Linked DNA regions of Xenopus tropicalis. The protein of the gene in region 1 interacts with the protein of each later gene in a pairwise test. Links are inferred from orthologs where the notes say so. Each region holds a gene or a part of one and is shown on either strand. Other genes may lie near its edges.

What was found.
Region 2: the proteins of cebpe (region 1) and ddit3 interact in binary tests that used the Homo sapiens proteins (3 or more experiments, as listed by UniProt). The link is inferred for Xenopus tropicalis from reciprocal best matches to the Homo sapiens genes CEBPE and DDIT3.
Region 3: the proteins of cebpe (region 1) and cebpg interact in a two-hybrid assay, tested with the Homo sapiens proteins (2 studies listed by BioGRID and IntAct, with this or other methods). The link is inferred for Xenopus tropicalis from reciprocal best matches to the Homo sapiens genes CEBPE and CEBPG.

Annotation. Positions count from the first base shown.
Region 1 is NC_030677.2:139,545,097-139,549,349, reverse strand, and holds the start of cebpe (CCAAT/enhancer-binding protein epsilon), read left to right. Parts: upstream 1-1,419; 5' UTR 1,420-1,821; intron 1,822-4,253. UniProt on the Homo sapiens protein: Transcriptional activator. C/EBP are DNA-binding proteins that recognize two different motifs: the CCAAT homology common to many promoters and the enhanced core homology common to many enhancers.
Region 2 is NC_030678.2:140,580,827-140,584,132, reverse strand, and holds the end of ddit3 (DNA damage-inducible transcript 3 protein), read left to right. Parts: intron 1-626; 5' UTR 627-669; intron 670-1,102; 5' UTR 1,103-1,134; coding exon 1,135-1,278; intron 1,279-1,972; coding exon 1,973-2,458; 3' UTR 2,459-2,733; downstream 2,734-3,306. UniProt on the Homo sapiens protein: Multifunctional transcription factor in endoplasmic reticulum (ER) stress response. Plays an essential role in the response to a wide variety of cell stresses and induces cell cycle arrest and apoptosis in response to ER stress.
Region 3 is NC_030680.2:115,630,983-115,634,637, reverse strand, and holds part of cebpg (CCAAT/enhancer-binding protein gamma), read left to right. Parts: intron 1-2,165; exon of another isoform or gene 2,166-2,225; 5' UTR 2,226-2,240; coding exon 2,241-2,654; 3' UTR 2,655-3,655. UniProt on the Homo sapiens protein: Transcription factor that binds to the promoter and the enhancer regions of target genes. Binds to the enhancer element PRE-I (positive regulatory element-I) of the IL-4 gene. Binds to the promoter and the enhancer of the immunoglobulin heavy chain.

The DNA.
Region 1 (4,253 bases):
CCTACTGTAGGTGTTGACTATGGTAAGTATGGAAGGTTGTAGCCAAAAAAGGTCAAACATATACTTTCTGTTATCTAATGCACTAAATGTGCATTTTTTTGTAAAATATAGTTTTTTGACATCTAAAAGATGTTTATGTGTTGCCCATGATAAAACTGAAACTTATTATTACATGTAATTATCATTATTTAAATAGCATTATTGTCTCCTGCAATGCTTTACACAGAAAAAGGATGCCAACAAAAAACATAATAGTTTACACATACTTACAGTGGCATAAGTCACTAGTATGTTGCTCTGTATTATACATTAACAGCTTAATATAATAAAAGTCATGAAGTTTGCCCAGGTTTAGTAACCTATAGTAAGTGAAAGAGCCCTCAAGAGTACAAGAATCTAACACAAGGTGCAGAGCACATAGCTGTCAGGTGCAGGGAAAACATACATCCGCAGGGACCATGAATGATTCTAGCCCCTGAGGTGGCTTTTGTGATGCTGCGCTTAACTTTCCTGCACCAGGGGGGATCCAGGGGGCCGCATTGCTAGTGCAGAGATTACAATTGTGAAGAGCTAATATTCCAATTTAATAATCAGAAATTGCGCTATTAAAGTGACCAGGAGCTGATTTTTGGCGCCCCATTTGTGAAGGTTACTACCTGAGGTCTCACCTTGCCTCATGGCTGTAGCACCCCTTGCAGGGACCCCCACAAAAAATTGTATTAGTAATATATGGTCCAATATATGAGGGGTCTGCCATTTCTTTAAAGGAAAATGAATACTTGACCAACAGATAATTTATAGCATAAGAAGGGACCTATTAAAGAATTATACCAAATTGGCAAATAAATATCAGCAAATATTTCCCTTTTACGTCTTTCACTTTGAGCCACCTTTTTGTGATGGACTGTGTGCTCCCTCAGAGATCAACTGACAATACATAATGCAGCTCTAACTGTAACAAAATAAAGTGTGGGATTATAGGCCCATTCATTGGTTGATGTAAGATAGCATGGTGTGCCTTTGGTTTGTATGTGAGTACAGTGGGCACAGGGGGGGGTGATCCGTAGAACTTAAAATGACAGTTTTTCCAGTGGTACAAAAAAGTAGTTTGTTATGAAAATGATTTATTTGCCGTGTTTGACATATATGCTGCTTTATGCAATATATTTCATGGCCTTCTATATTCAGTGGTTGTTGGTGGTTCTTCCTATTCTGGGGACCTAAATGGTGCTATTGCAGTTTTTTCTTTTTGTTTGTATAGGCAAAAGTTATAAGCTTCTTGCATGGACTGAGATAGAAGAGAAGTGGTAAAAAGTAAGTTTGAAATGTGCACTTGCATAATTGTGTTTGTTACTGGAAATAAACGTATTAATCGTGTGTAAGAGAGCAAGTATAAGTAGCGGTACCTAATACTGTTACCCTTCGTTCTGCAAAGGAACGGGTTAATATGTATAAATTGCTTATAGTCACCATATGTGTGAACCGTTACTGGGTACACTGGGGGCCGGGTGGTGGGAGCTGATAAACTGATAGCACTGTTCAGATTGCACCAGCCCAATTGGGAAATCTGTTGTCTTCCTGAAGAGCACATCAGAGGTGGAGGGGGAGCTGAATCTGTGAGCCACAGGGAGGGGACATACAGTGACACAGAGGGTGACCCCCCCCTCCTTGTACATTTTGAGCTCAGAGTGGCATGATCGACAGGTGTATAATTGTGACCCCCCAGGAACAAGCCACAAGGTGTGATAGACCTCTCCCCTTCGCTGCAGAAGTTTAGCCGAGAAAAAGAGTGTGCAAGTGGGGAAGCATCACTTGAGGAAGGTAATACCCTCTAAATTGTTTTATTCGCTATCTAAGGGCCATTTTTGAAACATGTCTGTTTATAAATACATGGTATATGTCTTTAGGCATAAACGCCATAAACATTTTGTTTATGCCTCAGTAGAGTATGTAATTTTGTTTAAAACGCTGACAAACTAAGCATATTGGCCGCACCTTTGTGCAGAATGTTATTTCCTCTCTTCCACTGCTGGACCACCATGGCCATTATTCATCCTATCTAGCATACCATAAACATTTGAATCTGCCATAGATTCAAAGGTTTGGTTCATTTTATTTAGATACATGATCATATACAGTATGTAAGCTTGTCTTTGATAGCATGGATTTTGTTTTTCACAAAAAAAAAAAAGGAATATATCAAGGCATTATTTCTCTCACCTGTTGAATAAAGCTGATAATTGATCTCTATCAGTTCTGATGTTAACAGTCCAGATTCCACAAATGTAATATTAATTTCTAAACTCTCTAGTCGCAATATAAATCCAAGGTATGAGTTCAGCTATAGCAATAACTGGTGTGTACTGGATTGAAAGGAGCAATGATACTGCCTATCCAACATGACTTCAATGAATAGGGCTTGTACTTTTTGTTTAGTATTCAAATCACAAAAAAATCTATGATTTATATTAGTTATTGAGCTAAACAAGACTAAAAAGAAAATTAAAGCTACTCCATGTTTGGTCCTCGTAATAATTAGAATACTAGTGCACACTTGATCTTCGTGCATAAGGGAAACCTGCTAATCTGTAAAACAGTGATCCCCAACCAGTGGCTCGGGGGCACCATATTCCTCACCAACCCCTTGGATGTTGCTCTCAGTGCCCCCAAACCAGGTAGTTATTTTTGAATTCCTGATTTGGAGGCAAGTTTTGGTTGAAAAAAAACAAGATTTACTACCAAATAAAGCCTCCTGTAAGCTGACAGTGTGCATAGAGGCTGCCTAATAGCCAATCTTAGCCCTTGCTTGGCACCTCCATGAACTTTTATGATGCTTGTGTTGCTCTCCAAGTCTTTTTACATCTGACTCACAAGTAAGAAAGTTTGGGGACCCCTGCTGTAAAAAAAAAATTCACAACAAAGGGGTGAAGGGAAGGGGCTGTGAACCGTTAATCTAATTATCTGTCTTGCAAGGACCAAACATGGAGTAGCTTGAATGAACAAGGGGCTATACCGCCTGTTCAAATATACATGTAATATTGTTGAAAAAAACTGACCAGCTAAGCAAAAAAAGGAGACTTATTTTTTCCTACTCTTCCACTTGTCAAACATAAAATACATACATATAGGACATGTGTATTTACTAACATCAGCTTTGCTTGCTAGGACTGGGTCAAAAACTACGGGATATTTTAGCCTTGTCCAATTTTTGTTCATTTAATTTTTATGTGTGATTCTGATAACCAACAAAATCTGACCTGATGAACCAAACCAAAAACAAAGATACATTGGATATCTTCTTTTCCAGTACTTTTGGTAGTAATTATTGGTTTAGGGATACAAATGACTTTTCCCAAAGAATCAGTGCAACTATCTACAGCATATTAAATATTCTATAGCTCTTAGCAACTGAGAAATTAGGGTTCACAGAGGTGATTTTTGTGGCAAGGACAAACACCATGTGGTCATTCAAGCGGAATTGCACCAGACTATTGTATTCATACCTATAAACCCAACTCACAATGACTGCAGGTACAGAACCCCCTTATCCTGCATCCTGGTCTTTGGAATGCTTCCCAAATCATCATGCCAGAGAACCCCACACCAGCTCCTAATTCTGTCATAACCCAAACCAAAACTGTAATTTTTCTGGATGTGGGTGCAGCTTGTAGGTTCCCTGTCTCTTTCCTCCCATTTTTCTGTTCCAGAGCTAAATGGAGAAGGAGACAGGAGTTTTAATGCTAAAATTCACGCCTGATTGGTCAGCTCCAAATTATGGAAAATAATTTGCTGTATTTGAATCAGCTTTTTTCCATAGTTCTTGCTTTTCCAAAGATAAAACCACATGTTTTCCTGCAGGGAAAAATCTTCTGTTTGCAACATTAATGTTGTCTGTATGATCATTTATCTGCCATCAAATAAACAGCAAAAGTCAAGGAGATATGTACTAGAGAATTAGGCAGATAAATGGAAAATTCAAGTGCTAATAAATTGATAATAAAGGCTAATCATATGAATATGTATAGATAAGGAAACAGTAAACATAGTAAAGGAGCATGATATGTGAAGGTGTAAAGATTTCTGTTTGACTGGGGAAGTCATTTTCCTTTGAACTCTTGACTTCCCTATCAGAAGGTTTTCATCTGCAGAGACAAGATACCTAGGAAATGACAAGGCCAAATGAATTAGTTTTTGCCAACATCCTGAAAATGACCACATTTTCTAAGATATTAAAATTTCTCCGGTATGACTCT
Region 2 (3,306 bases), on another chromosome or scaffold:
GTTGAAATAAGTTACTGGGCAGGTCTAATAGGGCAATGGCATTTAGCCATGGGGACCATATTGCCTCAGATTTCTGCAGGGAGTTCTTGCTATGTATGTCTGCTTGATTTAAAGGGAGTTTTTTATTAATGCAATCCATTCTGCCAGTGCGGGTGGGTCCATTTAATTATATATGGGATTTTTGGAGCACAGAAGATGACTGATCTCAATTCCTTGTGTGGTTCCAGGTAACCAATTCATCTACCACCCCTAAAAGACAGACAAATGAATACATATTTAAAGAGGGTTTAGGCCCTCACTGTGGGTAGGGTTCGTTATCCATTACACAACTCCAAACCTCTGGGAAAGAGAATTAATCCTGACATATAGACCCAGATCATAAAATGTGCCCTCTTCTATAATAAATGCATATGGATTTTTCTGGCTCAAACGGTTTCCTAATAATTAGTAATAATAGTGTTAAGCACCACTGAAGCAATTTTTTTTGTATTTGACTTCTGTTTTTGTATCGAGTAGCCTGAACTGTTGTATCTATATATAATGTATATGGTAGCCTTGCTATAAACTTTTTTTTTTTTTTTTTTTTTACAAAAAAAAAAAGCTAATCACGCTTTTCTTTTTAATAGTGTTGGAGAAGAAAGACAATCTTTATACATCACCATACCTGAGGTAAGACACTGAAATCTAAGCCTTTGGCTAAACTGTAGTTGTGAACATATACAGCATGTAGTTGCCTTTCTATAGGACCACTAGGCTGATGGAAGCCTCTTATCATAACTAAACCCCTAAAGTGCTACAGGCATTTCTAAACCTTTGGATTCATTGAATGCTTTCATAAAATGACATATAAGTCTTGGATTGGTTGGAAGCCTATGCCATCTGCACATACTTGGTTTTCCTACATCTCTAGGTAAGGAGTCCTCGTATGCAGTGCACAGCCCAGTCTTTGCTTCCATAGACCAGCTCTTCTATTTCAGTGTACCCTAACTTTTTGGGTGACTGATCGCCTAGCAGTGCGCCCCCCCCCCCACTCAGCTTGCAGGTAAGGCACGTGGCACTGTCTGCATTTTTACATATTTTGATTTATTTTCCCTTTTTACAGAAACAGTCTTCTGAGCAAGATTGCCATACAAAATGATGGCAGAGTCTCTGCCATTCTGTGGCCCCATGGCCACTTTGTCTGGGTGGGAGCTGGAATGTTGGTATGAAGATCTTCAAGACATCTTGTGGGCCGACACAAAGGACACTGGGAATTTGCTCCCTGTTTCAGAAGAGCAGGTTGGTGGTTTTATAAGTGACCAACTAATTTGTTTGCTCTCATTTTGTTGGTTGGCTATCTAGCATTAGACTGAGGGAAAAACATCAATGTCTGATGTCCGCAAATCTGCTGTCTGGGTTTTGGGATCACAACTAAACAGCATTTTAAGTTTTAGGTTGGCATTGCTATACATTAGCAGGGCAGATGGGGATTCTTTAACAATTGTTCTATTAGGGCCTGTTAAGCAAGCCTCACCCAAATCAAATCCCAGCATGACATTGGCTCTTTGAAAGCAAATTCTAACAAAGTAGAGCTGAGGTGTTAAGGAGGCCTGTGGCCATTCAGCCTTGAAGCCAGGGGCAGCCTGGGCATGACCACCATATTGGTCCAGGCTTCACTATTTGTAGCTGACCTCATGAATAGTACAGAACTCTCTGGAAAAAGTACTACTACACCCATTGGAACAAGATTGTACTGACGTTCCCTGCACCAAAGCTCATCACCTCTCCTCAACGCTCCTCAGCTTAGGTACTTTTATGTAAAGCATGCTGTTGCCATCTTTCAGCAAGGTTAGTGGTTAGAACCTTGGGGGTTCTGTTTGATCTGTCACACTGGCAGCATGTGGTGGGAAGAGTTCTAAGCAAAATGCCCTAATTGCTTAATTTACAGGTATTTTCTGGCCTACAATGCCTAATTTTTTTTTCTTTTTTTTAGGACTTACAGCAAATGGAAACTGTGGACCAATCTCCTTACTTGTGGACTATTGAGTCACCTTTGGTTATGGACAATGAGGATACTGATGCTTTAGAAGCTGCTGTACAACAGCTGCCTTCTGCTGTCTTGGAACTAATAAACTCAGAAATACAAGACAACTGTAAGCTCTCTGGTTCCCCAGTAAGTGATGATACTCCGCAGTCGGACGTGCCTGAGCTCGATTACTGCAGTAGCTCTTCAGTACATACCCACACAGAGGATGAGGAATCTTTTGCCAGCCAGCCACCATCAAAAAGAAAGAGAAGCAGTCAGTCACGAGGAGGAAAAGTACGTGTGAAAGAAAAGGAAGAGGAGAATGAAAAGAAAGTGTCCCATTTGTTAGCAGAAAATGAACGACTAAAGGGAGAGATTGAACGCCTAAGTAAGGAAGTGGAGCAGACTAGGAAGGCTTTAATAGACCGGATGGTGAACCTTAAAAAAGACTAAGACTCAAAATAAATCAGCAATTACTTGCTATGAGAACTATACTTTTATTTTAGGAAAGTAAACTTTGTAGAACTGCTGTGACTTTCAGCAGGTACTCTGTAAATACTGATGTAAGGAGTTACAGGTTAGTCCTTTATCTAGTCTGGAATGCATTGCGCTCTGTATATTGCATGGTTAATCTGCACGGTGTCTGTTTCCAAAACAATTTACACCATGTCCATTTAGCTATCCCCTGATATTAATCAAGTATTTTAATAAAACTAATATTGCATGTATTTTGGTTTTTATGTACTATTTAAGATCTGGTCCTTATTGATACAAATCTGCTTCAAAGTCCAAGCAGTGTCACTGGGGGGATATATTTGCTCACATGGGTTGGAGGCCATCAGGACACATGGCCAATTTTTGGCCTGATATCTGTTGGGTAGGTCTGTCTGAGGGCCCCATATATGGGCTGATAACTGCTGACCATCGCCAGCTTTTATTGACCCATGTATGACCACCTTTAATTCATTATACGCCAAAGTTGTTCTAGCATCCTTGGAAAGCACAACAGTGCAATTTCTTATTGCTTTCTGATTTTAAAATAAGATTTTTCATTAAGTATGACTTCTCAAATGTGTGCAATTCTTCTTCAGCTACATATTACATCTAATGAATATTACATCTATTTCTACAAAGGAGTGAAAATGACTGCTTTTTCAAACTGTAGCTGTGTTACAAGCTAAACATAAAATCCAGCCATGGACACAGCCAATGTGTGGGGGCCAAAAACTGGAAGTGATGTCACTGTGGCTCAGTTTGCTGTGACTGCCCCTAAAGGCTGTTTATGGATCACCCACATGGTT
Region 3 (3,655 bases), on another chromosome or scaffold:
CGCGCTTGCGTCATTGCGGGGGGGGGGAGATGCATGAGCGCCGGGGGGGCCCGAATGGGGGGCGGCCTCGGGGCGCCTGGATTTGAAATCCGGCGCTGGGGACCGAGACTCCAAAGATGGAGTGGACCATGGTAAATACTCTTATCCAGAACCTCTGGACTTTAGGGCAAGACCGCCATATGTTGATAAGGGGCCCGAAATATGTCGTGTATGGCATAAAAATAAAAGCGTTTTTTGTGCAGCAATTTTGCATTTTGTCTCGTGCTTCCCCCTATATATATTTTTCGATTCAACATTGGCTGAGAGTGCGGCTCTATTGCTGGGGGTTTGCATAAGGTCTGTAAGGCTGGGCGCAGAGGACCTATCTAGTCGACCACCATATGTGGAACATCGTACCTTGCTGGTCACAAGCCCGGAAGCATCTTGGGTCGACTGTGGGTATAAATTTCGATATACGGGCTGGGACTAGATACCACCTGAGGCAAACTACAAAGTTCTCCTTAAGGAGGGAAACATTGCGTGAAAAGCATTTGACTGTTAACTATATAGAGTCCCAATCCTCTTGTGCCAAGCTAGATTGTATATCAGTTTGCCATGCCGTAACATATAATAGGCTTTTAGCTGTGCCTTTTTCAATTGTAACCAAAATTTTGTTGTCTACTCTCCTAAAATGCCTACTTATGGTTGGTGATGAAATATCTTGTTCTGCTGACAATGTAATAAAGGTGATAGATTTGTGTTGGCTTGTTTAGGAAAGGGAAGCAGTAGGTGTCTCAGGTTCATCCTGTGTTGCCTTACGCTACTAACAGACCCAAGGGACCCCGTTCCTCATTAACCAAACATGTTTCTGATGGTACTGATGCACAGTCTACACAATAATCATAATATGAAGCAGATAAAAATGCTTAATGGTTTTGTGCAACAACTATAGGATTTTTCCTGTGTGCAGCTCTTATGAGCAGGGCCCTCTATCTCCTGCATAGTCAGAACCATAGATCATGTCATGGAGGGCAATGAGAATAGGGTTTACGTTCTCTTTCAGCCTATAAGCATGGTGCTCACAGCTGAGCACAAACGCAGCAGGCTGTATTCCCATTAGAGTATTGGCTTATGGAATGAAGTTGTGGCAGCTGGGACCACAAAGCAGAATGAAGACCACAAGGGAGTTCACCAAGAAAAACAACTATACCTATTAATAATACAACTTGTAGGTGTGATTGTTGGATCACAAAAGGATGTTTACAAAAATAAAGTAAGATTTTGGTTCCTTTTAGTGATATAAAAACAAGCGCAACATTAGACACTAAACTGAAAGTGAAACAGAACCTTGCTAAGAAATTATACACCTTATGTTTACAGGCCAGATTCCATATTTATATGATTTCTTTTATCTGGTGCTTTATTTTTGCATGTTTGCATTTGGTATCTTTTATCCCCAAACCATATTTTTTATTTTAGCCTCTTTCACTAACCTGTCATTTCTTCCAACCACACAGCTATGGGTGAGCATTGAAACGGATGGCAAACATGGAATTTTCACTGCCACTCTTAACAGTAACCGTAGCAATCAGAATTCCCATCTGCCTGTCAATCCTACTAGTACTATTGAATCTAAAGTGCCCTATTGGACATGCACAAAGAGGTGACAGGCAGACATCAAGCTATCTTTTTGGCACCAGTGTCCACCTGTCACTATTGTTTGTGTATCAGGTGGGGCACTATGTATTCAGTAGAATTAGGGCTCCGGCACATGGTGAGATTAGTCGCCCGTGACAAGGGAGATGTCGCCGAAGTACCATCCCACCGGCGAAAATGTAAGTTGCCAGTGGGATGGCACACGCTGCGCAAGCGATTTTGGCAAATCGCCGAAGTTGCCTCGCGGAAAATAGGGTATTCAGAGTGTAATGGAGATCCACACATCACAGGGCTTAGAGGTGATGAGGAACAACTTTGAAAAAGTCTTCTTTATCACCTCTAATATATAATATATATTATAAGTGTACTTTTCTAAATTTTGGATAGTCATATTATACAGACTAAAGACTGGGCGGTTTCTATTAATAGGCAAACAGAAGTCAGCAGAAAGTATTACTGTAGTTGTGAATGCTAAGCTACCATGTTTTGATTTTTTCTGTCCATAATAATATATATTTGTTTTATTTTAGGTATATATTACTGGACATTGAACAGCAGAGAGTCCTCACATTTATCCATTTATCTTTAAGGACAAGTTAGACCAAATGAACCAGTCCCCTTCCACCGCATCTGAGGGCCTGAGCGATGCCCTGCCAGGGAGCCCAGCAACACCACAGCTTGTGCCGCTAAACCCTGGAGGCGGAGGCAAAGCTACCCCTCCAAGCAAAAACAGCAAAAAGGGTCAACGATTGGACCGTGGAAGCGAAGAGTACCGTCTGCGTCGGGAACGTAACAATATGGCTGTCAAGAAGAGCCGCTTAAAAAGCAAACAAAAGGCTCAAGACACACTGCAAAGGGTCAACCAGTTGAAAGAAGAGAATGAAAGACTGGAGGCCAAAATCAAGCTACTTACCAAGGAGCTGAGCGTGTTGAAAGACCTGTTCTTAGAGCATGCACACAACCTGGCAGACAATGTGCAGCCAGAATCCAGCACACCCGGACAGGAGTCAGCTGGGTAGTAACCAATTTGAAGATCTACCACTAATTATTGGTGGACGAGAATAACTTTTTTGAGGGGTGGGAGAGCTCTGAATTCCTGCATTGTCTTTTGATTACAGGCAACATGCAGCAGTAGGGGCTGTAGTAACTGATTGTGCTTTCAGTCTGGGATCCAGTAATTTATACAGGAATGTTTGGTGTTGAAGTTTGTCTGTAGGTCTTCTGGTGCAACCCATTTGCTTTGGAAAGTTATTACAGAAAGGAAGCATAGAGGGGCAGTATTCACCTTGCACAAGCCAGAGAAAAAGGGCTTTTTTAAATAGTTATAGTTCACATGGGATATGAATTGTTTTTATATGAACTCTCTCCTCTACAGTATTCACTGTGGGAGGAGATTGAATCATATAGTCCCCTCTTTCACAAATCGTGTCTGAGAGTGCAGGCAGCACATAAGGGAGAAGCTTCTTCTCCCTCTTTGCTATTGGTGGCAGAGCAGAACTTAAGCAAGATGGAGGCAGCTGATATTAAAAAAACAAAACTGTTCCTTCTCCATGTCCACTATCTAATGGGATACTGTCATAAAGATCATTTCGTGCCTGAAACCACATGGTTATCAGAGTAGTATTATGGAGAGGGAAAGAAGCGATTTCCTTGAGCTTTTGAAAGTGAGCTTTTCTTCTTTAATACAGTAATGTAGTATGCGACTGGCCGTAAAGCATTATTACAGAGCAAAAAAACTCCTGTGCAGCAATTCTCTATATATGAATGCCTCAGAGTTTTCATTGTTTACATTTACACCACATTGACTATTAAAGCAGGCCACATGCACTGCTTTAGCTGTTGATTCTGGCCATCAAGATTTTGTTTGGTTAGTGGACTGCTTATAGGGCCAAACCAACACCCTCCGCCAGATACTGACAGGCAGGTTTAAAAGTTCTGTCGGCCAAGGACTGCTTCGGTTGATGCGGTTGGTTCTCTTTCAAGTCTGATCTGATTGTTGGTAGAGTGCCAAATGGTTGGA